4 linked regions of the Lonchura striata genome follow. The protein of the gene in region 1 purifies or fractionates together with the protein of each later gene. This does not show direct contact. Links are inferred from orthologs where the notes say so. Each region holds a gene or a part of one and is shown in the gene's direction. Other genes may lie near its edges.

Evidence for each region.
Region 2: the proteins of TMEM43 (region 1) and SAAL1 purify together in Homo sapiens (affinity purification with mass spectrometry; 3 studies listed by BioGRID and IntAct, with this or other methods). This does not show direct contact. The link is inferred for Lonchura striata from reciprocal best matches to the Homo sapiens genes TMEM43 and SAAL1.
Region 3: the proteins of TMEM43 (region 1) and BZW2 purify together in Homo sapiens (affinity purification with mass spectrometry; 3 studies listed by BioGRID and IntAct, counting the BioPlex papers as one, with this or other methods). This does not show direct contact. The link is inferred for Lonchura striata from reciprocal best matches to the Homo sapiens genes TMEM43 and BZW2.
Region 4: the proteins of TMEM43 (region 1) and ENDOD1 purify together in Homo sapiens (affinity purification with mass spectrometry; 3 studies listed by BioGRID and IntAct, with this or other methods). This does not show direct contact. The link is inferred for Lonchura striata from reciprocal best matches to the Homo sapiens genes TMEM43 and ENDOD1.

Annotation. Positions count from the first base shown.
Region 1 is NC_134614.1:14,600,658-14,607,735, forward strand, and holds the start of TMEM43 (transmembrane protein 43), read left to right. Parts: upstream 1-4,066; 5' UTR 4,067-4,194; coding exon 4,195-4,206; intron 4,207-5,376; coding exon 5,377-5,529; intron 5,530-6,495; coding exon 6,496-6,630; intron 6,631-7,078. Other genes in the region: CHCHD4 (mitochondrial intermembrane space import and assembly protein 40), read right to left, coding at 2,012-2,110, 3,840-3,861. UniProt on the Homo sapiens protein: May have an important role in maintaining nuclear envelope structure by organizing protein complexes at the inner nuclear membrane. Required for retaining emerin at the inner nuclear membrane.
Region 2 is NC_134608.1:48,284,758-48,292,186, forward strand, and holds the start of SAAL1 (protein SAAL1), read left to right. Parts: upstream 1-4,424; 5' UTR 4,425-4,450; coding exon 4,451-4,567; intron 4,568-4,814; coding exon 4,815-4,928; intron 4,929-5,808; coding exon 5,809-5,892; intron 5,893-7,429. Other genes in the region: serum amyloid A protein-like, read left to right, coding at 2,925-3,042, 3,372-3,510, 3,937-4,078. UniProt on the Homo sapiens protein: Plays a role in promoting the proliferation of synovial fibroblasts in response to pro-inflammatory stimuli.
Region 3 is NC_134603.1:127,663,452-127,670,751, reverse strand, and holds the start of BZW2 (eIF5-mimic protein 1), read left to right. Parts: upstream 1-4,287; 5' UTR 4,288-4,311; coding exon of another isoform or gene 4,312-4,378; 5' UTR 4,379-4,395; exon of another isoform or gene 4,396-4,418; intron 4,419-4,713; exon of another isoform or gene 4,714-4,849; intron 4,850-7,300. Other genes in the region: ANKMY2 (ankyrin repeat and MYND domain-containing protein 2), read right to left, coding at 722-786, 4,312-4,378. UniProt on the Homo sapiens protein: Translation initiation regulator which represses non-AUG initiated translation and repeat-associated non-AUG (RAN) initiated translation by acting as a competitive inhibitor of eukaryotic translation initiation factor 5 (EIF5) function.
Region 4 is NC_134604.1:39,661,975-39,669,975, forward strand, and holds the start of ENDOD1 (endonuclease domain-containing 1 protein), read left to right. Parts: upstream 1-4,982; 5' UTR 4,983-5,231; coding exon 5,232-5,525; intron 5,526-8,001. UniProt on the Homo sapiens protein: May act as a DNase and a RNase. Plays a role in the modulation of innate immune signaling through the cGAS-STING pathway by interacting with RNF26.

The DNA of each region.
Region 1 (7,078 bases):
ATTAGAAAACAATGCAGATTATGGCAGGTCTTTATAATGCATCTATTCTTTCCCAGATATGACTGGTATCTTTGGCACAGCAGAAAAGATGAAAAGAGTCCTTACAGTTAATTATACAACACTGGAAACCAAGTCTTCTATTCCATGTAGAAGCTAAATTAGAAAAGCCTACATGTTACACTAGGTACAGCAAAACCCTTCCCAATTTTCTTTTAAATAAAAGCAATGCATGCCAGAGCTTCAGCATTTCAACATATTTCAAACCATTTTACCCATGTCTTTCCTGCCCATAAGCTTCACTCCCTACTGCTACATTCTGGGATTGGTCCATTTTCTCTCTTCTGATCTAATGCACTGTAGCCCTGCATCATTCAAGAGGTTTTTCAGACTTAAAAACACGGCAGTAATGTACCACATACTAAGAATAAAACTCAACAAACTAAGAAAATCACACAATAAGAAATTCCCACCCAAACTTTTTGACAGTACTTAAACATATTTCTCATTTTGAAACCCCAGACACATACTGTCACTGTAAGGTGACATAAAAACCTCCTGGCTTTTCCCCTTTCTTCTTTATCTATTGTTGAGGAAGAAAGTGACCTAACATTCTGTAAATGCAGGACTGCAGGAAACAAAGCCCATCACCTCTCCTCCTCACCACAGCCTTTCCATGTCCACCAGAATACACGTAAGAGCAATGAATTATATGGCATTTAAACAAAAATAAAGTGGTTTTTTTTTTAATTTTGACTAGTTTATTACCCAAAAGTATGTCACACCAGGACATCAACAGACTTATCAGTGCAGGTGAGAAAAACACTTGGATATATAACTGACTACATACAGCTCAAATGAAACCAAAATAGGCAGATAATGCAGTAACATTTCAACACAAGTCTAAGTACGAAAAAAGTTAATCTAAATGACAGAGGAAGGTATGGTTCAAATTACACTACACACCATATCAGCTAACAGAAACCCTGTGAGCTCCAGCTGCTAAACTGCTTAAATGCTGCCCTCTAAAGGTCTCTGAGACACTTTAGAAAGCATAACTTTCACTTTCTAACTAAGGTTCAAAGAGTCTGAAGAATTTACTTCAGCTTCAGTTCAGCTGAAACCAATGAAATCCCTTCCCACAAAGTGAAGAGACCAAAAGGTCTGTAAACATACAGGCAATTAGAAAAAATTAACCTAAACTCACATTTCCATGATAATCATTAACCCAGGGCAAAAGTTATTAAATAATCATTACAGGAAATATATTTCATGTACCCATTATTTAAAATACACAACCAGAATATTGTAAATCTTGGTCTCAGAACTATTCTGCTCTCTTAAATCTCTATTTTCAGGTTAGATATGCTTCAGACAAGAACTGTAATCTTCATTAAAACTTTTGCATTTTCAAGGCACAATGATAGCAGCTGAAAACTCAGTAATTTTAACTTACCCGTCATGTGGCACTGAAAGATATTGATTATATTGCTACCAGTATAGTATAGATTAGCCAGATATTAATTTATATTAAATCAGATATTCAGACATTGCCATAGTAGGCAATTCCAACTGCTCACAGGCAGGTGAGCAACTCACTTCAATGACAGTGATATAAAACTTCCCTAGTTTCTCTAAAAATTGCACACTGTTACTTAAAACAGGAAAAACAATCATAATTTTCACTTGATTAGGCTCTAACATTATTAATAAAAGGAAAAGGTATCCCTGCATATCCCTGGCCACTAACCAAAACTAAAAGCCATCAACTTATTTGAACAGGTACTAAGAAAAATCACAAGTGTAGAAGACAAAATACTGGAATAAAGCGTATCATTAGTGATGTCCTAACCTCGCAGTTAAAACTGCTAAGAGTTTGGGTATTTTCTGCATAACCAGCTGCCCTCAGGCTTTAAATATGCTTAAGTTTTCCTAATTCGTGCAGGGATTGTTTTCTGTTGGATTTATATATGATGTAACACCCCTTACTTCTGTTCTTCAGCTCACTACTGACCTTGCTCTTCGTAAGGGTCATCTGGGTCATCTGCAACCAGCTCAGCACTGCTCGGTGTCTCATGGTCCTCCTTGGTTGCAAATATTATTCTGTCTTTTCCTGCCATGGAGGAGACAAGAAACAACAGTTCAGAGAAATCTGAGATGGAAAAAGATTTATTTACAAAACTGCTGAACACCACAATGTGACTCACCAATATTGAGAATGAACTGTTGTATTTAACAATTACCTTCAATGACAACAGTTGCTAGTCCAGAGGAACACATACACACTGAAATTCTGTTATTCTAAAGCTCCAATTTTCATAGCAATGTCCTGTAATGAACAGTAGACTCCACTGAACTGCAAATTTAAAAAGCTGTTTCAAAACAAACTCAAATTGCTCCAAGACAAGGACTAAAACAGATGACAGGTTTAGAAGTGGAAAAAAAAACCCTATAATAGCAGTAAAGCATTCAATAGGTACTTATTAATAACAGCACTCTTTGCTAAAGACCAGTATAATATTTTAAACTAATCATATGAATTAAAAACAGAAGACAGCCGTCACCATATAGAGCTAACTACATTGAAAAGTGTTGTGAACGTTACAAGGGATGGAAATGCAACAGAGCAAATTTCCTGCTCTTGATTTAACTAAAACATTCCATAGTGGGGTCGGGGGAGGCTTGGCTGGAAACTTCAGTAGTTTTAGTTTTCTAACAACCTTGCAAAGCTCTAACACACACTCTGAGAGTGGAAAAAATGGTAAACTCCCCAAGAATTCTCCAAATTCATAAAGGCCACTACAGTAACTTGACATATGAGAAATTAGAATCTTCTGGCCCCTCAGTGTGACCTCAGCCAGCAGATGTTCAGTAACTTAACCTTGCTGAGTAACCATGCATTTAAACATATCTGAAAAACAGAAAAATCTAAGACCTTTTAAAAAAATGGTAACAATTTTCTTACAAATCTGCATGGTAAAGTTTGCTGGAGTACAATGTGGAACGTTTGGTCATTTCTTATATAAAAGGAGAGAGAAAACACATGAACTCTAACCCTGTCACTGCAATTTTGTAGGGTTGCATAAAGCAACTTACAGATATTGCAAAACTAAACAAAGCACAGCATAAAGCATAAAAGAGGTCCATAAGTTATGACCACCTCGATACAGTTTATAGTCTGTGGCCAAGTTTGTAACTTACGAATGGCATTTAGAACTATTGGTGCTTTTTTCCTCATCCTGAAACTTTACATTCAGCCACTTGGCATTACTTAGGAGAGCAAGGATTTTTATTTATATATAAGTAGATATAGATACTTATCTACGCATCTCCCACTTTAAGAAGTGGTTAAACACCACCACCTGTACAACACGATACAGAATCGCTCGCACTACACCCACCCTGCCCATCGACCTTAAAAAGGCAAAACCCCACAGCTCTGGCCGCTCAGCCAGGCTGGGATAAATGTAACCCCGGCGGGCAGCAGGCGCCCCGCGGCCGGGAGCCGCCCTGAGGCCACACGCGGTCTCGGCGGGCACCTCCGGCCGCTGCGGGGCCTCACCGTGCCCTCACCGTACCCCCACCGTGCCCTCACCGTGCCCTCACCGCGCCCACACGGCCGGGACCGCGCTGCCGCCCCACGGCCCCGCCGCCCTCCGTGAGGAGAAAGGTCGGCGGCGGGAGGCGAGGCGCTGCCGCCGCTACACGCGGACCGCGGGCGGCCGCCGCGCCTCCTCTCCCCTCCGGCTGCGCCTTCCCCTGGCGGGCTGCGGGCAGCGGACGGTCCCCCCGCGGCGCACCCACCCCCGGCGGGGTGACATTGGGAGGACGCTCGGGCGCACCTTCCTGCCTGCAGTAGGACATGGCGGAGCCGGCCGGTGCCTTCCTCCGCAGCGCGCCGCACGCGGGCCCCGCCGCTCCGCTCCTGCCGTCCCGCCGGCACCGCTCGGGCAGCGCCGCGCCGCCGCTCCACGCCGCGACCTCCCGCCTCCGGAAGCGCCTTCCCGGCCCCGCGGCGGCCGTGACGCACCTCCTGCGGCCGCGGGGCTCCGCCTGCCCCGCGGCCGCAGGGCGGAGAGAGAGGGAGGCGGGAAGGGAAGGAGGAAGGAGGGGCGGGAGCGGCTGAGGGCGCGGCTGGCGGTGCGCGGCTCCGGCGGCCCCTGAGCTGTGGTTCCCGGGGGGCGTGAGAGGCTCAGGATGTCGAGGAACGTAAGTGCTGCTCGCTCCGGCCCGTTCGCCCCCGGTGTGCCAGGGCTGCGGCCACGGCCCGGTGCCGTCTTTAGATGAGAGGGAAGATGTGTGCTAATGTCTTTGCAAATAATTCCATGGCTGAAAGTATGGGTGTTAATGCCTTTGAAATGGGTCTTCGCGTCGCTACTGACTTTGGGCAGCAGGCTGGTTGCCGAGCTGAGGCGGCTTGGCTCCTGACACAGGAAGGGGATCTGCACAAGCCTGAGTTTGTGAACTTTGGGCAGCAGGTTTGTTACAGAGCCCACACAGCCTAACTCGTGGAACAGAAAGTGGGTCTCCACAGACCTGAACTTCTGAACCTTGAGGTAAAACAGTGGGTTCAAGGAGGGGGATATGTGGAAGCCGGTTCGGGAAGGTTCTGTCCACCTTCCGAGGAGCCGATGGGGAAAGGAAGAGGCAGCGAGCAGCCAGGAGTTTAGGATGAAAGGAGGCTGCACCCCCCGAAACCTCGAGAAAACTCCGCGGCTGTGTGCCCCATTGGACTCTATTGGACTGCCTTTATTCGAATAAAGTTACAGGAGTTCTCTTTCTCCTTTATGGCCACTGGCTTTTCGTAGTGTGTTTTTCCATACAGAGAAGTTCCGTGCCCTGCTTTGGCTGTGTGAGTGTGCTGCAGTGGGATTTGGTAGCTCCTCACAAGCTGCGTGTGCACAGAAAAACCCCTGGGCTCTCATGTTAGTCCTGTGCCTTGTTTTGAGTTATTGTTAACCTGGATATAATTATTTTAGAGTGTGCAGGCACACTTTTTACTGGTGAGGTGAATCATAATTTGTTATTTATAGCAGTGTTTTAGCTGGTCAGGAATTTAGGGCTATTACTCAATTTGTCATGGCATGAATGTAGGGCGTGGACTCCAAATACAGAACCTGGAGGCAGACCGAAGACAGCTTGAACATGTAGAACCACTATAATAGAAATTGCGGTTTTTTTCTACCAGGATGGAGTCTTATTTATCGAATGTGTTTCTGGTATTAAAAGCGTGCTAAGGCATTTTATAAGTGTCGGCAAGTTTTGGTCCAAGGCAAGAGGTTCTCTGTAGTGCAGCAGTGCTAACAAAGCTAGCAGACTTGTTTTGAAACGGAATGCTTTCCCCTTTCACACCAATATGGCACTTTTGTTTATTTTCAGCAGTTCTCTGACACAGGCAGCAGAAAAGAGCATGTTAAAATCACAAGTGAGCGCAAACCAGGGTTCCTGGAGCGACTCAGTGAGACTTCTGGAGGCATGTTGATTGGACTTGTGACATTTCTTCTGGCTTTCTACCTTCTTTTTACCAATGAAGTAAGTGCAATACTGTCAGTGTTTGTACACAGCATTAATTGATCTTTGAGAAGAGGAGATTTTGTCTGGGGACCTTGTGTATATGCTTGGGATGTAACAGAAAAGTGAAATCACAGGCCACAGGTAGTATTTCTCTGAAAATAGGTATGGTAGAGACAGTAGCAGTGTGTGATGAGAAATAACATCCAAAGCTTGTAAACTGGTGATGAAACAGCCTGTGGTAAGAGGGTTGTGTGAGCCCGCCCTCTTTTTTCTTGAGATAACAAAAGGTCCTAATTTCTAGTGGTGTTATAATTACTTTAAAGAAATTCATACCCCATGTTGCAAAATTAGAGGAGTTCTCAGAAATAATACAGAGTTTCTCAGTATTATTTCTTGGTTTGAGGTTTTAAAAAAAAAAAAGTCATCCAGGAATCTTAACACCCTACCATTGAAAACATACTTGTTTTGGCAATTTTGGAGTGGAGATCAGAATTCTGTGGGTTTTCATGTAGAGACTTCTTTTCATACCTCTACAAGAGGAATAATAACTGCTTCAAATTTTGATGACTTTGCAGAAAAAAAGCCCATCAGGATATGATGATAAGCAGGGAAAACTTCTGCCAAGGAGTCAATATAGGTGTGTAGAAAATGAACTATAATTTATATCATTTTTGCAGTTACTGAGGAATGATGAACAAGGTAAGAAGTGCAGAGCAGTAAGTTTAGACCTGTGTAGGAAGAATTTGAGTCTGTTTGAGAAGCTTAGTCAATGTTAATGGTCCCACTGCCTGAGTGAGAAGTACTGCCCCAAACTGGCTCAGACAGAGAATAGAGAAGTACAAGTGTGTTTGAAAAATATGCCTTGGGCTGAATATACAAGGATTCCTTGTGGTCATCAGTTCTTGTGATGCTGCTAATCTTGTTCACAAAATGCTGCTGTGACATTGATTCTCCACAACTTGATTTCTCTTTTCTTCATTGCAGGGACGAGCTTTAAGGACAGCCAAGTCTCTCGATGAGGGGCTTTCTCTTGTGGTCCCTCTTGACAGCATCCTCAGTATCTCTCAGCAGAATGAGGGGAGACTGGTGCACTTGGCTGGAGCTCTGAGTACATCTAAGGTAAATAAAATAGTATCTTGAAGATATGAGTATTTCAAGCTTGGAGGGAAGGAAAAGTCTTTGCCATTCAAAGTTTTGTTTGATATCCAGGAAAAGACACATGGCTTTTCTCCTCCTCTATGCATTGGTAGCTACCACTCAAGCTCTGGTTCTTGGGCTGGAACCAGGGAGATGCTGAATGGCCTTGCACTCCCTTCTTCAAGCCAATGCCAGCTCTAGCTGTGTTTACCCTCAAGCTGCCTTTTATGGATAATTTCAATTGCCATTTTTGTAGGGAACCTGTTGTGTGTTCATGATATTGTTAAGTGTTCAGGGTCTTGCAGCACAGGAGCTCTGCAATTTTTTACTTTTCAGTAATGGTGACATTTTCCATGGTCCACTCACATTGCAGAAGGTAACACAGCACCTTCCAGCAAAACAGAATCTCCTGGTTTAAACACTGAAACCT
Region 2 (7,429 bases), on another chromosome or scaffold:
AGAAATTACTGAAACAGAAACTGCCTCAGTTGCACAGAGCAAGGCTCCTGTCAGCCAGCTGAGCACACATCAGGCTGGCTCAGCCAGCCTCATGGGGAAGATGAGCTGCAGCTCAGCTTTGGTTTTTGTGGGTGACTGGTGGTGGGAGAGACCCTCGAGAAGCAGAGATGAATAAAGGGGGGTTAGCCTGGAGCAACTTTAAATAGAAACTGGTTGGTGGTATTTTATCAAAGATAAAAGTATCATACATTATTTCACTATTAGAAACCTATGGGTAAATAACTTTTACTTCAGATACATGCCTGCATTTTCATTCTGCTTCTTTAAAGGAGACAAGTTTCCAGTCATTCTCTATGTGTATAAACCCAAGGTCACTGGTAGTGTATATTCAATACTTGGCAAAACTCCTGAAATGAGTTATTGCACACATAAATAAGGTACTGTTCTTTCCCAGATTAAGAAATAACTGCTGATATTATTGTGCCTAAGATGGGAATTCACCTCATCCCCTTTCTCAGTCTAACTTTCTTAGATTGCAAAATTGTGGAATGTTTGTTGGACACAGTTTGCATTCATAGATATTTACAGTTGCAGGGCAGTGTTGGCTGCAGTTCATTTCTGTGAGCCAAGGGCCATGACCTGGAGCTCAGGACAGGAGGAGACAGGAAAGCAGGCTCAGGCTGTTCCCTGCTGGAGCCCCAAGCTGCAGCTTTGGCACAGCTCCAGCATTGTCACTGCTGCTGTCGTCCTTGCTGGACACCAGGGGATGCACTCTGAGATGTTCTAAAGAATTGTTCTAAGAGAACAACTCTAAAGATATGTTCTAAAGCACCTGCTTTCTTGCAATTATTCTTGTGTTTTGCAGAAATATTGGTGTGGAGAGAATGTGAAACAGTGTAAGACTCAAAATATCTTCTATGGTCCACAGTGTGTGAGCTCTTGTAGGGAAAAATTCCTTAGGTCAGTTTTGAAGGCAATGCTTTGTTCTAAGTCCCTGGGCAAAGTGGATGCTTGTACCCCAGCTTACACGAGTCATTTGCCTTGTTTTTCAAAAACCAAAAAGGTGACAGACAAGGCTGCTTGCAGCCAGCAGAGAAGGCACTTGAACTGCCATGTTCTGCAAGGATGTAGGTACCAGAATGGAAACAGGGTTGCAGCAGAACACAACGCTCCAGTCCCTGCAGTAGCTGAGCTCTTACACTGTGAAGTATCGGGTTCAGGAGTGCCAGGGGACAAAAATCTGTGTCTGCTCCCTGCTTTTGCTTTGTCCATTGGTTTAGGGTTTAGATTCTTGTTGCAAATTGTTCCATTATGAGATACATCACACTACAGAGTGTCTGTCCTGCTGCTGCAGGTTATGGAAAATGTCTCCTCTCCTCTAAAGCTAATTTTTTTTAAGTCCGGTGATGCCCAAGGAAGGCATTGTCACCACTTTATTAGCTTTGCTGCACCTCTTTCAACTCATGCTCTGCCCTGCAGCTCCAGGAGTGAATTGTTTACAGTAGCAGAATTGTGACTGGAGCAGCTACCCTTAACTCTTCTGCGGGGAACCTGAAGTGCTCTCCTACTTGCCAAATCATCTACAAGGCCACACAATGGGGACACTTCTTGCACACTCACTCTCCAGTGCAACTGCACTCAACCCAGGAGTTTTCTGCAGGGGAAAGGCTTGTGTCAAGTTGTTAACCAAGGGAAGCGAGCATGCTTTAAGCAGGGAGAGCACAGTGGGTATTTAAACAGTGAACCATGCCAATAGGGCCATACAGCTGATCTAAAATCTAGCAGAATTGTGTCTGTATCTGAATCTCCCCTTAAGTAAAATGTAAAATGGACTGCTGTGTCCAAAACTTTCCACCTGAGCCCCACAAAGGTGCTGTTGCAGCAGGGTGGCTGGAGACCCTTGAGAGGGGCCTTTGAGAGCAAGCCAGGGCAAAATGAACCATTCAGAGCCTCTTGATGGTCTGCGTGTCTGTGCTACATTAGAGCATGATCAGCAGGGATGTAGGTGTATGTGCTTTGCTTTGCAATGGAGCAACACTTCACATTTTCCATTTCATTAACTCTGGGATTTATCTGGCAATACCAGCACACATGGGAATTCCACCTAGCAGTTCCTGCAGCCCTTCTGTTAACGCAGCTCACTGTTCCTTGTGTACAACACAGACCTGACCTTGTGTTTCCGTGTGAAGACAGACATGCACCTTCCCCTCTGAGCTCTGTTCAGTCCAAGATCCAAACAAAAGCATCACCCTTAAGACAGCAGTAACACTTCAAGCACGTGGAACTCTTCAGCCTTTAAGGCAGTTTGTCCATCTGGTTGTTACGAGGAGCAAATAGTCCCAAAGACAGCAGAAGAAGTGCCATGTACTCTAAAAGATTGCATAATAGGAGCTATGAACTTTCAGTAAGGACAAGGACAGGTTTCCAGTAATGATTTCTGTGTTGGGAGTGCTGATGGGGATTTCCCAGCCATGGGTATCCTTTCCAGTTTCCTCTTTTGAGGGGTTTGAATTGCTTATAAATACCCTCTCTGAGTCTGAGAGCACACAAGACGATCTCCAGCTCCTTTGGTTTTGCCGTTCTGCAGTGGTGAGTGGCATTCTGAATTAGTGAGCTGTGTGCAGTGTTTTGAGCTGGTATTCTTGGGAGCAGAACCAATGCTTTAGCATGTGGGGCTTCTTTGTACTCATGACAGGAGCAGCAGGGATTGCTAAAATGCATGTTTCTCATGTGCATCTGCTTTAGTTGCTGAGTTTGTGGTTGCACAGAGGTCACAACTCCTTGCAGGGGGAGAAGGGGGTCCTGGGTGAGCCCCCAGCGCTGGGGCAGCAGCCTGGGCACATCTGGGGGTGTGGTGGGTTCTCAGTGGTGCTCCAGGACTGCTCATCTCTCTCACTGTTTCCCAGCTCCCCTGGCCAGGAACCATGAGGCTCTGGGTCTGCATCGCGTTGCTCTCCACTGTTCTGTGTGCAAGTGCTGACAGACCAAGGATGTTCGATGGAATAGTCCGAGGTGGACAATTTGTCCGGGATGCAGCGGGAGGTAAGCTCTGTTACCAGGGGCCCTTCCCTTAGGAGCCCCCTCCCCAAGCACTGCTTACCAGCAGTCAGTGCTGCAGCCCTCAGAGCAGGGAAATCTGCAGCTCCACCACGTTAGAAAGCCCCTGGTTTCTGCTGCAGGACCTCGAGGGCCTTGACCAGCCCCCACAGGTGCTTTCTGTGAGCACAGCCCTGTGCAAAGGCTGATGCAGAGCAATGCCTCACTCTGTTTCTGCTCCTTGGGCCTTTCAGCTCCTGACTGAGATGGTACTGAACTATTTCTGGTGCAATTCTTTCAAGTCACCCTTATCTCCATTTCTCTGCCTTCTTCAGGAGCGTATGATATGTTCAGAGCATACAAGGACATGCGTGAGGCAAATTACAAAGGTGCCGACAAGTATTTCCATGCCCGTGGGAATTATGATGCTGCCCGGAGAGGACCTGGTGGTGCTTGGGCAGCGAGAGTGATCAGGTAATGGAGTGTGTTTGGCTTGTTAAAGTGAGTTATTAGCGATTCAGGCATTCCAGCTGGAGTGAGGTCCTTTTTGACTCGTAATCAGCTTTGCACCTAGGACAGCAGAGGGGAGGGGAAAGAGTTCCCATCTGGACAGCCGATCTCTATAGGAATGGTGCCACATGAATGTGAGCCTTTCTCCTTGTCCTCCCAAGAAGGCAGATTTCTCTCTCTGCATTTCTGATAAAGAACTCTCCTTCATTGCTGGTTCATTTCCCAGCATAACAGATACGGGTTCCACCGCGGGCTTTCAGACAAAGGCCGGGCTTGTGCTTGCATCTCACCTTGAGAAGCCTTAAAAAGCAGTTTCACATGAGTGAGGGCCCCAGCACAAGGCTGAGTTAGATGCAGTCCGTTCAGGTGACATTTTCTCCTTCCGCACAGCGACGCCCGGGAGAACTGGCAGAGCGGCGTGAGCGGCAGAGGCGCCGAGGACACCCGGCTGGACCAGGAGGCGAACGCGTGGGGCCGGAGCGGCGGGGACCCGAACCGCTACCGGCCCAAGGGGCTGCCCAGCAAATACTAGCGCTGTACTCCGCTCCTGTCACACCTCCCTGTGTACAACCCAATAAAGGAATCCTCCTGAGAACCGTTCCCTTCGCTGCGAGCATCCGTCCTGCCGGGGCGCGGGACTGCGGGGCGGCGGTGTCGGCGCATCACGGGGGCTGCTCGGGTGCTCCGGGAGCGCGGGCGCCGCTCCCTGCCGAGGGGCGGCCCTGGGCGGGCGGGTCCCGGCACTATCCTGTCACGGTCCCGGTGCGATCCCGGCGCGGTCCCGGCGCGGTCCCGGGCGCGGCAGGCGGCCGCGGCCGCCGGGGGGCAGGGGGCGCTGTGGGGCCGCGGGCGCCGCTCCGGCCGCGCCGCCGCCTCGCTGCCCCCTCACGGCTGTGGGGCCACCATGGACCGCAACCCGTCGCCGCCGTGCAGTGATGCGGAGGAGGAGGAGGGGGACGCGGTGGGGAACACGGTGTACAGCAAGCACTGGCTCTTCAGCGTCCTCACCCGCCTCATCGAGGTGCGCGGCCGCCGGGAGGGAGCGGGCGGCGGGCCCGGCGTGGATCAGCGCCGGGTGGGTGCGACGCGATCGCTGCCAGGGCCGGGGGGACAGCCGGGCAGCAGCGGGGACAAGCCCGGGGACACAGCTGGGATTCACAGGGCACAGAGCCGGGGGTCGGGCGGGGACACAGCGGGGAAACGCCTGGGGGGCTGCCGGGTGTGCGGGGCTCAGCCGGGTGGTTCTCCCCCGCCCCGCCGTGTCGCAGGTGATCGCCCCCGCCGAGCCGGAGCCCGCCGCCAGCCCCCAGGGAGCCCGCACGGAGCTGGACGAGGAGATGGAGAATGACATCTGCAAGGTGTGGGACATGTCGATGGACGAGGTAGGAGCCCTGTGTCCCGTCAGAACGGCGCTGGCCGCGGGAGAAGGCAGGGAACCAGCCCGTTCTGGCGCTGCTGCTCACGCCCGGCTGTGGCGGGCAGGGTGAGGCAGGACTGCTGCGCTGGGGCGGAGCAGGGCAGCAGCTGGAATTAACTCGGTGCACAGCCTGTGCTTTCAGCACTTGCATTATCAATAGTATTGATGCCATCTCTAAGCAGGCGTATTTTCCTCTAGCAATTGTCATATATCCTGATGGTAACATAGCTTTCTCTGATAGATAAACAGTCTTTCAAAGTTTAGCTGCAGACTTGCAGTGTCAATGTATATTTCTCAGCACTCTCAAATGCTGGAACAAATTATCGAGATATATATATATTAGTTTAAGTATTATTTTATTCCCTACCTTGTTTCTCAGATTTTTTAAGTAAACATCGAACATGGATCTTTTACTCCCAAACAGACAACTAATCTTGTGTTTTAATGTGGTAAAATGAGGAAGAGATTTCTTCTGATCAAGTGTTCACTTCACTTGCTTCTTTTTTATATGTCATGGTGATGTCATGCCTTAAAACACGATATTTACTGAATTCTGGTTGAGAGTCTGTTTCTGTTGAGATAGGGAGCAATTTGCATTTTCTTGTGAATGTGACTTTTTGGCTCATTCTACAGCAAATCACCAGCATACTGAATCGCCAGAGGGGCTTGCTGACCTTCTCTCATTGGAAAACAAGGATTATTGGTATTAACTGCTGGCAAATAACAAATTCCTTGTAGTGAATTTGTCATCTCTTTGATCCAGTCCTTGTGCTGTGGGAACATGTTTGATTTTGCATTTGGAAATTGCAAAGGTCCATTTACTTCTCCATTCACTTTCTCTGCAGGATGTTGCTTTATTTCTTCAGGAATTCAACGCCCCTGATATATTCATGGGAGTTTTTGCCAAGTCCAAATGCCCTCGCCTGACTGTAAGTATGGGCTGTCAAAAAGCTCTTCTGTGTTAACAGCAACAGTAGACAGCTCTGTACATGCATTTACATTTATCTCCCTTCTCCCACTGCATGTGTAATTTATAAGGGGAACCAGGAGAAAACACAAAATCAAATTTTTAAATGCTTTTTCACTCTGTTTTTAACATGGTCTAATCAGTAAGAATTTTGGTAATGCTGAAGCTGGTCCATCTCTGCTCACACATCCTCATCTAGATATACTGATGAAGGACTGAGTTTATTGAACAGTTATAAGACCTGTTATAAAACCCAGCAGTCTGCCCTGCTTTTTCCTTTTGACTTGTTTCATGATTACTGAACAGAAATGGTCATGAATTTGTTTAGGCAGACCTGCAGAAGTTTGACCCTGGCTGGAGGCCAGGTGCCCACCAAAGCTGCTCTGTCACTCCCCTCCTCAGCTAGACAGGGGAGAGAAAATACAACAAAAGGCACATGGGTCAAGATGAGGGCAGGGAGAGGTCACTCACCAGTTGCTGGGATTTGTCATGGACTTTGGCAAAACAGATTCCACTTGGGGAAATTAATTTATTACCAATAAAATCAGAAGAAGATAATGAGAAATTAACACAAAAAGATTACAAAAAGTAATATTTGGAATTGTTAAGGCACCAATACTTTAATTAAAAAAAAAAAATTCTATTTGTTTTGATGTTACTGATTTCCAGCTTGTGCTACACAGTGCACTGCAAGTCTCAAAATAGGATTTTCAAAGGTATTCAGTGTTGATGTAAATCCTCTTTCTCAGAAGTTAGCAGATGCTTTACTCCAGGAGATCAGTAGAGACAAATAGAGCTTTGAAAGTTTAGTACTTTGGAAAATACAACCCAAATTTGCAAGTGAGTGCAAATTAGCTGTCACAGCTACTATAATGAAACAGTGTTTGCTGGAGTGCCTGATGTAATATAGCAGATGTTATAGCATGTTCATAATTAAGAAGACAATCTTAGTGGAGAGAGTTGATTTCTGACTTTCAATTTCTGCAAACTAATGACTCGCTTTGTTTTAGCCTCAGTTACCTGCAGGTGTTTCAGTGCTCTCATGGTCCTCTTTACACAAGTGGGCATCCTCTTAATGATTACCTTGGCACGAATATTCTAATGGGATGAACTGCTTTGGGGGTTTTATTTTATTTTATTTTATTTTATTTTATTTTATTTTATTTTATTTTAATCTCTTTAATCAGAAAATGGACTTTGCTGGAAACTTGTATTAAGATCCCTTTCTTTTGTGGGCACAAGAATATCAGTGAGGGTCACATTTATGTAGTGGTATTTTTGTTTTAGGACTCCTTTTTTGCTTTAATAACAGGGCTGTCAAATTAGCTTCAAAACAATATACAAAGAGTATGCAAGCAGAGCTGATTTCAAGATTTGTTTTTATGGAACACCTAAATATCTGCATAGTACCTGAGTGTATTTTAAGCTAGTCTGATAGAACAGAAAAAAATTGCATGGAATCTGTGCAAAAATTTGTATTTTTGTAATGAAATCAGTAA
Region 3 (7,300 bases), on another chromosome or scaffold:
CCTGTGAAATTATAAAGCTGTGAAAATAACCACAGATTAACATTTAAATCGATAAATTACACATGAATTTATCATGCATGATGGGGAATTAAATTTGTTTGCATGTTATATTTCATATTAATGTTGCATGCTTTAGAAAAACATTGTAAAAAGAAAAAGAGGAGGAAATAAGAACATCATATAAGGTTCCTTTCTCCACAAACCTATTCCCACCTTCAGGTAGCACTTGAGGATTTATCTTCTACACGTTTACCACACCCACTTGTATGAAAGGCTGTGGTTCCATTTCTGATCGAGCTACTCACCCTCCAAGTATGTTTATGAGACCCAAGCATGGAATGGGGACAGGTGCCATGTCTGCCACAGAGGGACTAAGCAGAGGAATTACTGTTTGTGAAGGTGACAAGAAGTCAGGGAGCACCCCCACGTGTTTTGCTGCAGCATTTATCCCACCTTACAGACAAAGCTCAGGCTGGAACGTGAGACAAAATACAGTGTTGTACTTTAAATAACATTAATCTTTAAACTTGCTTTAAAAAACAGTAAGAACTCTTCAAATGTTCATTACTCAGCTGCAGGCTGGAAATATCTTGAGATTAACTCTGACTTTCAGGGCTACAGCAACTGCTGTTAGAGAAATGCTATTTAACATTATGAAGGCCTTCAGACCTAGCATTTTCCTTATTAAACTCAGCATAATGCTTGCACAGTTTTGCAGTACCTCATCCAAGCAATTGACACGGACATTCTTGCTCCCCAGCAGCCTTCCAGCCTCCTCGGTGTTTCCTTTAAATATAAGGACAAAGAGAGAAAAAGGGTTGAGAATCTAGAGGAAAATGGTCATTTCCATTTCTCATTAGAATCAAACTCTTTGCATGTAAACTGATTGGGATGTAGATTAACCACCACTAAAGTAGCACTTAGTTGACACTTGGTGAAGAAGCTTAGGAACGAGCAGTATTATGTTCTAGAAGCTAAAAGCTGAAAGAACTCACAACATCAAGGAGCAGTTGGAAAGCATGAACTATAAGTAAACATCAATTTTTTGTGAAGTAACTGACCTACACACACAAGAAAAGGAAACTAACATAAAGAGCACATGAACAGCTCCAAATGAGTGTCGTAATACTGAGCATTGTAATACATTTTGTACTTTCATCTCTTTTGGAGCATCTTTTGTCTAAAAGAGCTGTTTACATTCTCAAAAAAGGAAATTACCTCACTTCAAAGACTTTTTGGTTTGAATGAAACATGATTTATCATTTACTCACATAATTTTTCCTGTTTCAATTTGAAATTTGCAATGTTTCACATTTACAGGAGTGGAATGAATTTGCTCTTGGTAATAGAGAGCAGAGATAGAAAGGACAAGGACCCAGGTAGCTTGATCACTAACATCTGTAAAAATTGCCAAATGCATAAGTAGACTGAAGACTGAAAGAAAATGTGCCAGGAAAAACAGGTTACACCTGTTTTCCAATTCTACTGTCCTGGCATTTTTCAATTCCTTACCAAAATCCTTTTGGCTAAGCCACAGGTCTAAGAATCTGATTTAAAGCCCACTGGAGGACTATTCAGATATTGCCAATGCAGCTTCTACAGGCACAAAGAAATAAATGACATACCAAGAGTCTGAGTTTGGAGAATATTTATTGCAAATTAACAGAAACTTATAATTACTGATTCAATCATAAGCAAAACTCTTTCAGCAGTGATGTGCTTAATAAAAATAAGCACTGCATCACTTATTTTAATGATTTTCATGTTCATCTTCACTCTTTCAGAAGGTGGTGGTCATCTGTTGCCCTGATTTTTAAAAGTGTTTTCTTTTATAGTTCTTTTGAAAGTTTTAAAGTTCTTCTAAAAGTTTCCTATGCCTTCTGATATTTACATATTTCTACTGGCATTCTCATGCACTGTTCATATAAATAACGATTGTTTTACATTCTTCTTTGTGAGAGGAGAGAATTGATGGACTGTTGGTTTGACCAGCGTGGTTGGAGAGGTGGCAATTCCATCCTCCAATCCACTGTCACTTTTGGAATTCTATATATTGCAAGGTCAGAAATAAAATTTGCTCTTTTTCTCCTTTGAACTTACCAAGTCTCTGTGTACTCATTTTGTGTCCAATAGTGACAGTCATCCAGCAATTTTTCAGCAGAACAGCTCTTGCAACTTCAGTTTTGGCTAAAAATCCCATTGAAATACTAGAAATAATTTATTTTCACAAGGCTTTTTGGTGTGATTTAACTACACTACAGGGGCTTTTACCACTTTTCTTTTAATTCATTAATTTCATTAAAAAAAGACAATTGTCTGAGTCATTTTACACACTTAATAAAGACCCCTGACAGTCATGGAACCATCAACCAACTTATTCCCCCAGACATACCTATATTCTAAACACGTTAGAAACTTCTTAAGAACTAGATCAGTTTACAGAGGAATATCCCAGCTAAAGAACCAACATCAGTAAGAGAAAGTCTTCAAGGGGTGATCTTCAAGTAAATTTTAATACAACCTAAGCAAAGCAAAGTTGCATTTACAAATACAGAGTTCTATATGACAAAACGTTGAAAGATTTCCAACAAGGCACTAAACTGATGGAAGTCAGACTTCTAGAACTGGCCAGAGCTAAAAGTTGGAGCCAGGCCCCTCACAGTGGTGGCATGGTAGGAAGCCAAGAGGTTAACAGGCAGAAGCTGAAATAAAAGGAAGCTTCAGACTGGATACAAGGAAAACATTTTCACAATGAACCCAGTAAGGCAAGGAGATTGCCCAGAGACACTGTGCAGCCATCCTCCTTGGAAGTTATCAATACCTGATGGGATAAAGCCCTAAGTGATCACATTTGACCTCACAGCTGATGTGTTTTGAGCAGGAGGTTGGCCTAGAGACCTCTTGAGGCCTCTTCCAACCTGAATTATCCCATTACCCTAATCAGAAGCATCAAGTAAGTTAGACAGAGGTGTCTGCAAGATCAAGGTCTGAAACACTTATTAAAGTGAGTCAATCAAACTGGTTCTGGTCCACAACAAATTCACTGCTGACTGTCTTATGCTTGTGTCTCTGACATGGAGAAACAGTTAAATACAACTGAGAGTGAAGCATCAAAACTGTAGCAAAACTTTCATGCGTTCAAATTGCCTGGTAACTACATACAGAAATGCATAGAACACATGAATTTTTCGTTTGCTTCCAACTAATGAATGTTGTTCATGATTTTCAAAATACCAGCTGGAGGGGAACTATTTATTCAGAGTTATGAAATTCACATTGCTGGAACCCAAATGACAGAAAATTCCCCTGGCAACCAGTATGTGTGACAGACAGTGCAATGAAAGTGTGACACTCACATGAAATGCAAAACCACAGAAGGGGTCAGGTTAGAAGGGACCACAGCAGTCTGGTTATCTGGTCCAACCTCCCTGCTCAAGCAGGCCCATCCTAGAGCACATGGCACAGAATTGCATCCAGACAGTTCTTGAGTATCTCCAGTGAGGGAGACTCCACAACTTCTCTGGTTAATCAGTTCTAGTGCACGGTCAACTCCACTCTTACTCAAGAGGAATTTTCTGTGCATCTGTTTCTGCCCACTGCCTCACATCCTGTTGTTCGGCACCACCGGGAAGCACCTGGTTCTATCATCTTGATACCATTCCTTCATATAGACATTGATCCCCTTTCCTCTCTCTAACAGAGCAATATAAGATAGTATAAGGAGCAGTAAAATAGAACATTATAAGGGATAAGAGGTGCGCAACGCCCCAAACAAGCTCAAGTGCTGGCAATGTAAGAATAACGTGTCTGCAAAGACGCCCTGGTCTGACAACATGACACGGGAAAAACCTTACAGCACGCTGGAAAACTGGATTATCCCCAAGAAAACTTTTTTTTTTTTTTTTTTTTTTTTTTGGCAGCGGACATCATAATTCGGCAAACGTCAACAGACATTGCCAATAAGATGCAAGCAAGCTTTCCTCGGCAGCGCCAGACCGGCCCAGCTGAGCTTCCCCAGCCCCGCTGCAGCGCAGCGCGCCCCCCGCACTCCCCGGGTGCCGCCTGCCCGAGGGAGGTGAACCCGCGGCGGGGAGAAGGGTGGCGGCCGACGGCGGGGGGGAGGCAGGCGGCCCTCAGCGCCGTGACCCGAGGAGCGCGGCCGGGGCGAGGGGAGCCCGCGGCGAGCGGCCGTAACGGCGCCTCACCGGCCGCCCGCAGCGAGCGGGGCCACGCAATCCTCCGGGCACGGCCAGCGCGGCCCGTGGGAGCTGCGGCCCGCGGCCGCGAGCGGCGAGGGCCGGCAGGGCTCACCTGTGGAGATCACTGCCAGCAGCTCTTTCTCCTCCGCGCTCAGGTCGCCTTTCCTGGGGGGAGCCATCGCGGCCCCCGCGCACGGTAAGGCGGGATCGGCCCGGGACGGCTCCCGCAGCGCCCCCTCCCGCGGCACCGCCCCGCCCCGCTCCTCCGGAGCCTTCCGCCCGCAGCCCCGCCCTGCCGGGGCCGACGGCGGGGCGAACCATTCCTGCCCAGGGATGGGGGTCGCTGCGTGCCAGCCTCTCGCCCTCCGCCAGCTTCCCACCCGCTGTTGTCGGAGAGAAGGAGCCTGTCCCCTCTTGTTCCTTGTTTTCAAGTTGAGAAATGCGTTACGCTTTTCTTTTGTCTCCCCTTTTTGGCTTCTCCGGGGCTCCTCCGTTTCTCCCCCCCGGGGAGGTGCCGGAAGTGGTGCGGGCGGGCGGAGGCGCCGGTGTGTCAATGTGTCCGTCCTTCACTCCTCCATTGTCTCCCGCCGTCGCCGCTGCTGTCGCGCTCGCTCGCCCTCCCCGCCCCGGACCGCGCAACCACCCGACAGGTGCGGCCGGGATGGGGAGAGCGCCAGGCGGGAGCCGCGCCGGAGCCCCGCCGGAGCCCCGCGGCCGCGCTGCCCAGGCGACGGCGGCTGCTGTGGGGCAGCTCCGGGCGGGCGGGCGGGCGCGGCGGCCATGGCGGAGCAGGGCGGGCGGCGGCGTCACGGCCCGGTGCGGGTGCTGCAGCCCGGTTCGGAAGTGCCGCCGTTCGTGGGTTTTGTGGAGCGCCGGCGGCGCCGGGTCCGCTGCGGGAGGGCGGCGGTGCGGGCTCCTGGCACGCCGGCTCTTCCTTCCGTGCTCCCGCTTTCCTGCCTTTTTATGGCATCGGTTGGTTGGGTAGTTGGCTTTTTGTTGTTTTATTTTTTCCAGGCAGGAAGAGCGTTTTGTTCGGCTAAAGCGGCCGAATGGAGCCGTGGTCGCGCCGCGGCATCGTGTCTCCGGGAGGAAGCGGGCGCTGATGGATCGGGAGGGGAAGGAACGCGCTCAGGGTGTTCAGAGCGGTGCCTGTTGTTGGTGCCTTTCTAAAATTAAACTGTTGCTGGAAAAATAATCTTTGTTACAGATCCAACTTTCCACTATTCCAGCGGAAGCTCGGTAGGCACAGGGACGATCCTGTCGATTCCCTCCAAGGGACAGAGACTGAGGTTTAACATCTTTGATTTTTGCCTGTGTTTATACCAGAGAAAAGAGCAGGACCCTGGTACTTGATGCTGACTTTTACCCTCTTTTGCTCTACTCTTAAATGTATATTTTCTGTATTCTTCCTTTTAAGGAACTAATTTTTTTACCTGTAACGAAGTTTTGAAGGCATGGCTTTATCAGTAAGCCGAATTTTTCCATTTCTTATTACTTGCAGGTCACCTCATATTGAAATATTTCAATATATTTTGGAATTTCTTTTTCTAATACTAAGCTTGTTCTCTATTTTGATACCTGTTGATGACTTGTTGACTGACTTTCAGAAATAATGAAGTCTCTCATAGAAGAGCATGCTCGCTGAATATAGCCTATCTTCATAACTATTTGGGTAAAAAAACCAAAATGTGATACAATTTTGTTTTAACTAAATAGCCAATTTCTATATGTTTACATGATTTTAAAACTCATAGAAATAAAAGGGTGTACCACCTAGTTTTACTTGCGTCAACCAGTGTATATAAAAGAGATTGGTTTGGTCTTCAGATTATAAGAGATTCCCTTGACCTTTTTTTTGTGGGAAACCAAAAATGTTGTGAAGGAAATGCCATTGAATTACAAGTGCTTTTAATATTCTGATCCAGAAACGATCCCTATGTGGCACTAACAGAAGTATGTCACTGGCTCAATCATGAAGGCTGAAATTAGGATTTAAGTGGTCTTTTGTTGGTTCACTGCAGGGTGTGAATTTTACCTGCTGTGAACAAATCTTGTGATACTACAGTGCCCTGATAATCTCTGTGGCACTGTTAAATAATAGACTTCAAGCTTCCTTTTGCATTTTAAAAAAATCCCAAAAACTGTTGTGTTTTCTGCACAGAAAAATGTGCATATGACATTCCTTTTATTTAATATGAGAATGTCATTATTGCCATCCTGCCCTTGTTCACAGAGTGAACAGACAGTTTTTCCTTGGCAGCCTTAACTGGATCTCACTTGGTGACTAAGGCTACAGGAGTGTTCCATCTGCAAGGGTAATAAAATACTTTAAGTGCTAGTTAAAACATGTTTCTCACTCTTACCTGGCTTCTGTGTGACCTTCAATCCTGTAACATGCAGATATTTCACAATCTTAAGATCACCCTTGTGAGAGTGTGAGGAAGTGGCATTGCCTCCATTTTATGACCATAATTTGAAGTGTGGAGGCAACAAGTAATTTTTTTTCAAGGCAATGTAGAGAGTCAGTGTCTCGGCAGGGAACTGGAACATGCAAATGTAGGTTCTGTGCCTTTGTGTCTTTCCCTTTAATGCATTTTCTTTTATCTGTTTGTTTCACATATTTAAGACATGTGCATTACTGCTTGGTAATTAATAGTTTATATTTTGAGTATTACAGAGGGAGAAGGAAATGTTAACCTCACTGTGATTCAGAATATTTTCTAGATTTTAAATTGTATGTTTACATATTAAAAATTCCCTATTTCCTCATTAGGTGATGTGTCTGGTACTTGTGATTTGTGAAGCAGGAACTAGTGGTGAAATTTTTCCACAGTGGTTTGCTGGTTTTACTGCATGGAGGTGTGCTCATGGGGATTCGTGATAGCTATTGTTAACCAATGTGTAGGTGATCCTAAGTGCCTATGTGCAATTGTCAGGGATAAGAGGCATGCAAGAAGATAACAAGGATTTCTTTAATCAAGTAACATTCATTTTGGGAGAATGTACAGAATAATAACCTTTTTCTTGGGTTATCTTGGGGAGAAGAGACTGGCTGCCCTATGCCTTGGAGAGTGCACCATGAAACTCTCAGTCTTTGGACA
Region 4 (8,001 bases), on another chromosome or scaffold:
AAGTGGATAACTTCCCTGTTCAAAATAGATTTAAAGTGTGGAAGAACTGTTGCGGATCTGATTAACTGACAATCTGTAAAACAAAGGCCATTACAATTGAAACATAAACTTTTTTTTTTAGTTGTTATCATGTTAAGAAGCACCTTCTAATTTAAAGAATGGAGGTACTGGAGCTTTCAGCACATCTCTAAATAGCTCATTTTGACAGATAATCATTTGCAATATTAAAAACATTGCCTTATACTGCTAATCTACATCCATTCTGCTTTTGCTGTCTAGCATGGGATTGTCATTGTGCTTCTTTTAAAGAGTTTGAAGATTAACAGAGATTTTTTTTGAGTGTGAAGACTATGATAAAATGCCAAAGGAAGTACCCTTTGGATTTTATTAATTTTATTCAGTATTTATGCAATGCATTTATACTTCATGGTGTATGGTTCATTTATACTTGAAAAGGTGGCTGTCTGAATTTCACTGTGCAAGTTTTTGTACAAAATGAGAACATGTCTCTGTCCTAATGGTGTTACAATCCACAGAGCAATGGGGGTGCTTCACTCTTCCCAGTTGCCACCCTTTTCCTCTGATTGTACACCATGGACAACCTCCTCTATAATGTTTTGTTTAAAACTCCATGTTCTTTTTCTCTTCTGAATTCAGCTGCGACACCACTCCAGGGCATCCCCTGTCTGCTGTGGGTGGACACTGAGTCTGGACAGGAGAAAATGCAAGTAAAGAAGCAGAGGAGCCAGATAGCATCCCTGGCAATCTCACAGGCCACCCTTGATAGTGAGCATCATGGCAGAGTTGAGCAACAAAGCAGCACTGCCGGTGGGGGGCCATTCCTCACCAGAGCACTGTGGTGAAGGTGTGAAGACAAAAGGCAGTGGAGATTGGTATTAAGACCTCATTTTAGGTGGGAATCAAAATCCCAAAAATGTGTTTTTAAGCTCTACCCTAAAGAATTTGTTGTCCTTGTGCCCACCCTCTCCCCTTGCCCTTGAATCTTTTAGTTACAATTGGAAAATTGTTTCACTCTCGCTTTTCCCTGTGGCTCAGCTCTGGGCTCCCTTCCCAGAGCAAGTTTTTAAACTAATTTTAAAAAGAGACTGTTTCCCCATGAGACAGTGAGGAGGCAGATGTGCTGTCTGACATGCCATGGCATGTCTGCTGGCACTCTTGTGCTCCCAGTCTGAGCTTGGTATGCCTCCTGAAACAAATGGTGCCTCTCTCATGAGACTGCTTGCCCTTGGAGACACTGTCTTCCTTTTCTTCTCAGGAGGAAGAGACAGTCACATACAACACTTGAGTCTCACAGAGGCCGTGATAGGAGACTGGAGATCCAGCCTGGAAAAATATTTGAAGTCAAGAATGTTTTGAAAGGCTAGAGTAGAGGGGTCAAGCATGTGAGGGGATAAATTTTCTATTTGTAGCAAATCCAGTGTCAGTCGTGTGAACAGAGACAGGACTGGAGAAGCAGTGTGGGAAAGCAGACAGACAAGCCTGGCAGCTTCTAATGGCTAGAGAGTGTGGATGCTGACATGCTTTTCAGATTTGTTGTGAAGGGAAGTATTCTTCCTTTTCAGACATTGTTCTTGATGCTTGTTCTTGGTCCTCCTCTTGACCCTTGGGGAACAGGAAGACTGCACATCTATGTCAGGTCAATGAAGATGGATGTGAACCTTTCCTTTTCCTTTCTCCCTATTCCTCCTCATATTTTCTTCTCATTTTCTTATCACAAGAGACTTTCCTCAGATTTCTCTCATCATCTCACTTGACCTGTCACAACCTGGCTCTGGGCTTCCTCACGCCTATTTCCATTTGTTTTCCTTCTTCACCTTTTCTTAGCACCCTAGATTTTCAGGAATGCAGATCCTCCTCAACTCTAATTTTTACCCAATATCTTCCTTTTCCTGATGGTTAATACCATTTTCTGGATCCTTACCTCTTTTCTTCCCTTCCTTCTCTCCAGCCTCTCTTAATTTTCCCCAACACACTTTATCTCTGTCATGCCTTGCAATCTCTGTGTCTATACAGTTTGTTGTCTACAGCCTCTCTTGTGTCTCACAACCTCTGCCTGCCACTGAGTGATCAGCTTCCTCATGAGAGGAAGAGGAGGGGCAGGCACTGATCTCTTCTCTGTGGTGACCAGTGACAGGAATGGCCTGAAGTGTCAGGGGAGGTTTAGGTTGGATATCAGGAAAAGGTTCTTCACCCAGAGGGTGGCTGGGCACTGAACAGGCTCCCCAGGGCAGTGGTCACAGCACCAGCCTGTCTGAGATCAAGAAGCATTTGGACAATTTGGGCACATAGTGTGACTCTTGGGGTGTCCTGTGCAGGGCCAGGAGTTGGACTTGATGATCCTGTGTGTACCCTCCAAATTGGGATATTCTGCGATTCTATGATCACATTTCTTATGTGTCCCTTTGGCCACATCACTCTGCATTGTCCCTGGCTTCCCTCTGCTCCACCACATGAAACATCAGGCTCTCACCCACACTGCTGACACTGCTCAGCTTATTGCACTGTCACTCCTTGGTGGGTTTGGAGAAGGCAGCCCTGGGTGCCAGGGCCACACTGCTGCCACAGTTCATGCTGACACCACCAGCTCCCTCTGCCCATTGCCAACCCAATGTGTATTTTGCCAAAGCTCTTCTGCTCACATCAACAGCCTTAGGGCTTTTTGAATCTGACCTTAATACTCCTTTTGGCATCAGCTCCTGCAGGCATTGCTCGCTCACAGCCTATAGGGATGACTCCCTGTGATGCCTATAAAAGCATCTGATAGCAGATAAGCTACTGCAGCACTGGGTCATCAAAACCTCTGGCCAACTCCATCTCACTGTGTTTGAGTCCTCTGTCTGTGGTTCCTTGGCTGAGACTGTAACCTTCCTAGGGCAGGGCAATCTTTATCTTTTCAGCATGGTGAGTGCCACAGCATGATGGCACAAGTCCCTTTAGTAGTAGTGATGTTAGCAAGAGAAAAAAATACACAGCTCTGTGTTCAAGGATCACAACAGCTATCTTAAATTAGATAGAAACTGGACAGGCGCCTCGTTTGGACAGAAAATTGAACGGGGAGTGGAGGAGTGGAACTCCATGCTGGCTTCCAGCAGATGCTCCTCATGGGAGGTGAGAACCTGAAGGTCCTGCTCTTCAGGATAAGTCATGTTTATCTGTTTGCTGGTAAATGAACAGCTGAATTGGTAGACAGACCCCAGCCTCATACCTTGAAAGGAAAGAACTCCTCAGAGTTTCCCAAAAGCCCATAAAAGCTCTTGAGGGTCAGAAGAGAGCTTGGGTTTGTACATCTGATGAGACAGAGTTGCCGTTTTGAGGCAGGAGGTTGATTCACAGGTCTAGGACAGAGGCAGGATTTCCACCGGTTTCCTGGCAGAAATCACTGATCTGTTCAGTGTGCTGTGCCTGCTGTCATGCACATCTTGAGACACCTCATGCTGGATTTTCATTGGATTGGGACCATGCCCATCCTGAGGTAATGCATGTCAGCCTTGAAGTGGGGTGTTTAAATTTATTGTCTGACCTAGCTTTGCCTGCTAGTAGGGCTTACCATCCTTATGAAAATATTTTTTCTGCTGTCCAGGTAATTGCAAGTCTGGAATCAGAAAAGCATCTAACAGCAAAGGTTCAGCTTCAGTTCTTGATTTTCCAGGAGCCTTTATACATTCAGGAAAATGAAATTTTATTTCTGTGCTTTCCTTTCCAACACCTTTCCTGAACATGACTAACTCTTTCTGGCAGGGCTGGGTGACCAGTCATCTGCCTGGACCAAACCCAGGCCCACTTACTACATTTCCTGTTGTTCCCCAGCCTGTCCAGCCTGCCTCTGTCTCCCCTAGCTGATATCACCACACCAAAAGGTGTCGACGTATTTCCTTGTCTTGATACTTCCAGAAGTCATCCCTGAGTAGAGGAATGATAGTCATACAGTGAAGTCTATTTTTAGCCTTTCACGGACTCCTTCTCTGACATTCAGCAGGCTCACCACCATTAACCACTCACCATTCCACTTCATAATTTTCAGTGTGGACATAATCCTACCTTGTCTGCAAAGTACATGTGGAATGGTAGCACGTGGGAGGTTTTTTGCTTGGAAATTGTATTATAAAAGGGATTTGTGCCTTATTGACATCTAGGATTTTTTTAAATTGTTGGCAACACAGCTGATCACATCTCACTTCTTGGGTGGGAAAATGCTACCTTTTCTTGACTCCAAGGTCCTGCTCTGTGATCTCCTTTCCATCTCCACTGTTTAGAAAACATTAATTTTTCCCAGTCACTGAAGGAATACTGCTTTTACCCAGCAGTAGCCAAGGTACCATAGGCAGCTGTTTCTTGGGTGGATGGTTACTCTGCTGAACATAAACTTGGAGGAGCAGCTTAATTTCCTTTTTTTGCCAGTTCCATAGGTTTGGTCAAAATGTTCTGTGGTGGATGCTGATTAGGGATATGTGGTCTGAGGGTCTTCATCCTTCTGTGTGTTGTTAATCTCTTCTGAGAGAGGGTCTCCCGAGATGAGGTGATGCTGGAGGGTTTTGAGTTCCCAATACCGCACCAGGAGATACGGCAGGTGAATGCCTTTCCCAAGCATCTAAGCAGCATGTGGCTGGCAGCAATAGTGATGACAGACACCCCAAAAGGGGACAAAAAGGACTCCCAGAAGCTCCAATATTGCCACCTCTCTTCTTTCTCTCCCTCTCCTTTGGCCAGGCTCACAGCTGGAGAGGACAGCTAATACCTTCTTTGGGGTGGTGGAATCTGACTTTGCAGCATCCCCTCTGACAGCCTTAGGAGCATTTCTGGCTGTGTCAGCCAAAATTCCTGCCGGGGACTGCTGCAATGCAGCACACCACACCCCCGCCGGCGCTGAGCCCCAGCCTGGACGGTCGGTGCTGCTCATCTCCAGCGCTGCGGCTGCCACGGGCGCCCCTCCTCCTGTTGGCCGATGATTCCAGGTTGCCTGGCATCCCCTCCTGCGGGCGGCCGTGCCCGCGCCGTGTGTCACAGCGGCCCCGCTCGCTCGCGTTCGGCTCCCGGCGCGCTGCCCGCGGAGCGCGCCGCTCCCGGCCTCCGGTTTCGGATTTCATCCCTCGCACGCTGCACCCGAGCTCCAGACGCTCTCCGGCTTCGCTGCTGCATGGACTCTGAGCGCAGGTCCTTTGCCGTACCCAGCGGAGGCAGACGGGGCTTCCCTCGGCTCCAGGGAGTGGACCATGAAGACGTCAATTGTATTCTTGCTTTGCATCTCCGTTTTCCCAGGCTTTTCCCAGGGCAGAGTTGTTAGAGAGGATGAAACTGGTTTTGCCGAGTGTAACGTGTTCTTCTCTGGACAAGTCCCACCCGAAGGATTTACGGAGCCGTTCCATGCGAAAATCTGTCAGCAGTACAACAAAGAGCCACGCTTTGCAACCCTCTACAGCACTAAGGACAAAATCCCTCTTTATTCAGCTTTTAAGTTTACAAAGCCAGCTCAAAGTGAGGAGGAGAACTGGCTGGTTGAACCGCAGGTAAGGCAGCTTTTCCTTTGCTGAATAGCAACTCTTCCTGGAGAACATTTCCTCTGGGAAATGAAAGCTGGGGCTAGAATTTTGCAGAGGAGGCAGGAACTCTTCTTGTTGAACTTCTGTTGGTATGAATATAGCATGAGCAAAACTTATTTTTGTGCTTGGAAACGGGCAAACAAATACTTTCTTGTCCCAGGGAGCTTATAATGAAAACTGAGAGGCTGCTGCATGAAAGTGCAGTGCCAAGGGAGAGGAAAGCCCTCTCTGACACCAGTGATGTGTTTGTCCTGCCCAGCCAGCTTTCGTGGGCAGGGAGCGCTGCTGGTGGGTTAAACATCGCAGTGTCAAGTTCAGGTTTGTTCTGTTGCCAGTATGCTCACAGTGTTGATAGGGGTTCTTTAGCTTCACTGAGCAGAGATAAAGCATCCATTTGTGGTTCACCAAGTTGATGCTGCAGCTTTTCAGTGAGTCCCAGTGTTGCAGACTGAGGTAGGAAAATCAGTTGCTGTGTTGTGGGGCATGCAGGTTTCAGTCAGGTCAGAAGTATACAGTATAAAATGAATCTTGCCAGAGCCTCAGTGGTTTTTGTTTCTCCTGCCACTTGGCGTGTTTAACCAAGGCCTTCAGGCTGTTCAATTTAAAGGAAATCCTTTAAAAACTGATGGTGCCCTAAGAGAACTTTAGCTCTCCTATTTCCCCTCCCATTTCTTAGATTTTTCAGCAGTGATAATGACAAATATTGTAGCAAACATCAGGCTACCCCATCTGTTGAGCTCAGGAGAGATTATGAGTGTGTACAGGTACTTTATTAGGGCAGGAATGGCTGCAGTGTCAGAGCAGTGTGTTAGAAGTGTGGCCCTCAGCTACTGGATGTTGCCACAATCCTGCGGTGGCTCATTCCTCTGCCAGGAGAATGCTGTGCTTATTTTTCTCATGTGTAGTGATGAGACACTAAGGCCACAGGCATTGAAGACAGGAGATATTAAATGGTTATCTTAGCCTGGACTGTCTTCTGGCTGTCTGGGCTGGGTCTTGAGTTGCAGGAGTTTCTAAGAGCCTTTTTATCTGAGCTCCTTCCAATTCGCAGGCAAGCTGTGGGATCTTGCCCTTTGTTAAAACAGAGGAAACTTTTTGCAGACTCTGTCGTTACTGAGTTGTGGCAGGGTGGCAAATTTTTAAAGAGCAAAGGGGACTGTCTGGCAAGAATCTTTGGTCAGTGCCATGGAGGCAGCAAGGTAAAGCAGCAGAGATGAAATCCTTTCCCATTTGCCTTGGCTAGTGACACCCATCACCTTTAGCTCCCATATCTTTTCCTGCTTCTTGCGGTCCAGCTCTCCCACCCTATCTAGGTAGGCTCGGGAGCTGTTCCTGCCATGGAGCAGTGGGCAGCCCCCCCACTCCCCTGCCCAGTAACTTTGGTTCCCCTGGACCTCCCTTGAGCTGGTGTCTCTGCCCTTCCTGCCCCATCCCTTTTGACACTCGTCTTAGTTCCTGCCAGCACTCCAGAGTCCCAAACCTTGTGTGTCCTGCCACCAAGACCTTCTGCAGCCTCAGAAATAGTAGGGCAGGTGCTACCTTTATTTGATCTGGCTTCTCCAGAGCAGCCTCACAGGTTGACAATAATGGGTCTACTGAGACCCCACTATAATAATAATGAGACCCCCACTAATGGGTCTTCTTCATCCACTAGTGAAATGCAGATGTCTTAGAGGCAGGAGTCAGCAACTCTGCAGCTCCCTGGAGGAACCTCTGACTGAGACAGAAAAGTACTAGGACAAAAAAAAAAAAAAAAAAAAAAAAAAAAAAAAAAAAAAAAAAAAAAAAAAAATCTGCAGAAGAATATGTAAGGGGAAGAAATCAAGAATATGAAAAATTCCTATAACTCAAGAAATGAGTGCATACAGCCCTCTCAGATACTGCCACTTGGAGGAGAGAGTGGTGGGGAAGAGCTTTCACACCCTCTATGTGTGTTCTACCAAGGCTCTTCAGATGGCTGCTGAAGGGAACCCTTAGCAACACCTGCTCTGCAGCATAGCCCAGTGAGCTCATATCACCAATTTTCTGGGTAATTTGCTTGCCAAGATAGGGATAGCTAGGTATGAGCTGGCTCAGCTGCACAGTGGCATGTACTTGCACATGGAGATGCAGACACACAGCAAAGGGAAAGAAATCATTATAGAAACACTCTCAGCACTCCAGTGAGGGCCTCAAGGTTGTCATATGCTTTTTTTTTTGTTATAATGATGTAAGTGGTGAGGGCACCATCTCACTCCCTCCTCAGGAATGTCTGCCTGAGAAACAAATGCCAAATGTAGCACAGAGGCAGTAATTGGGTGAGGAGTGTGAGGAATGTCAGTGCCACCCACTGCAGATTGGCAGCTGGAAACAATGAATTAATTCAGCAATTAGTGAAAAATTAGAGAGCAGGAAGGGTAGGCTGATGAGCAGGGTACTGATGGGACTCCCGCAGGCGCAGGTC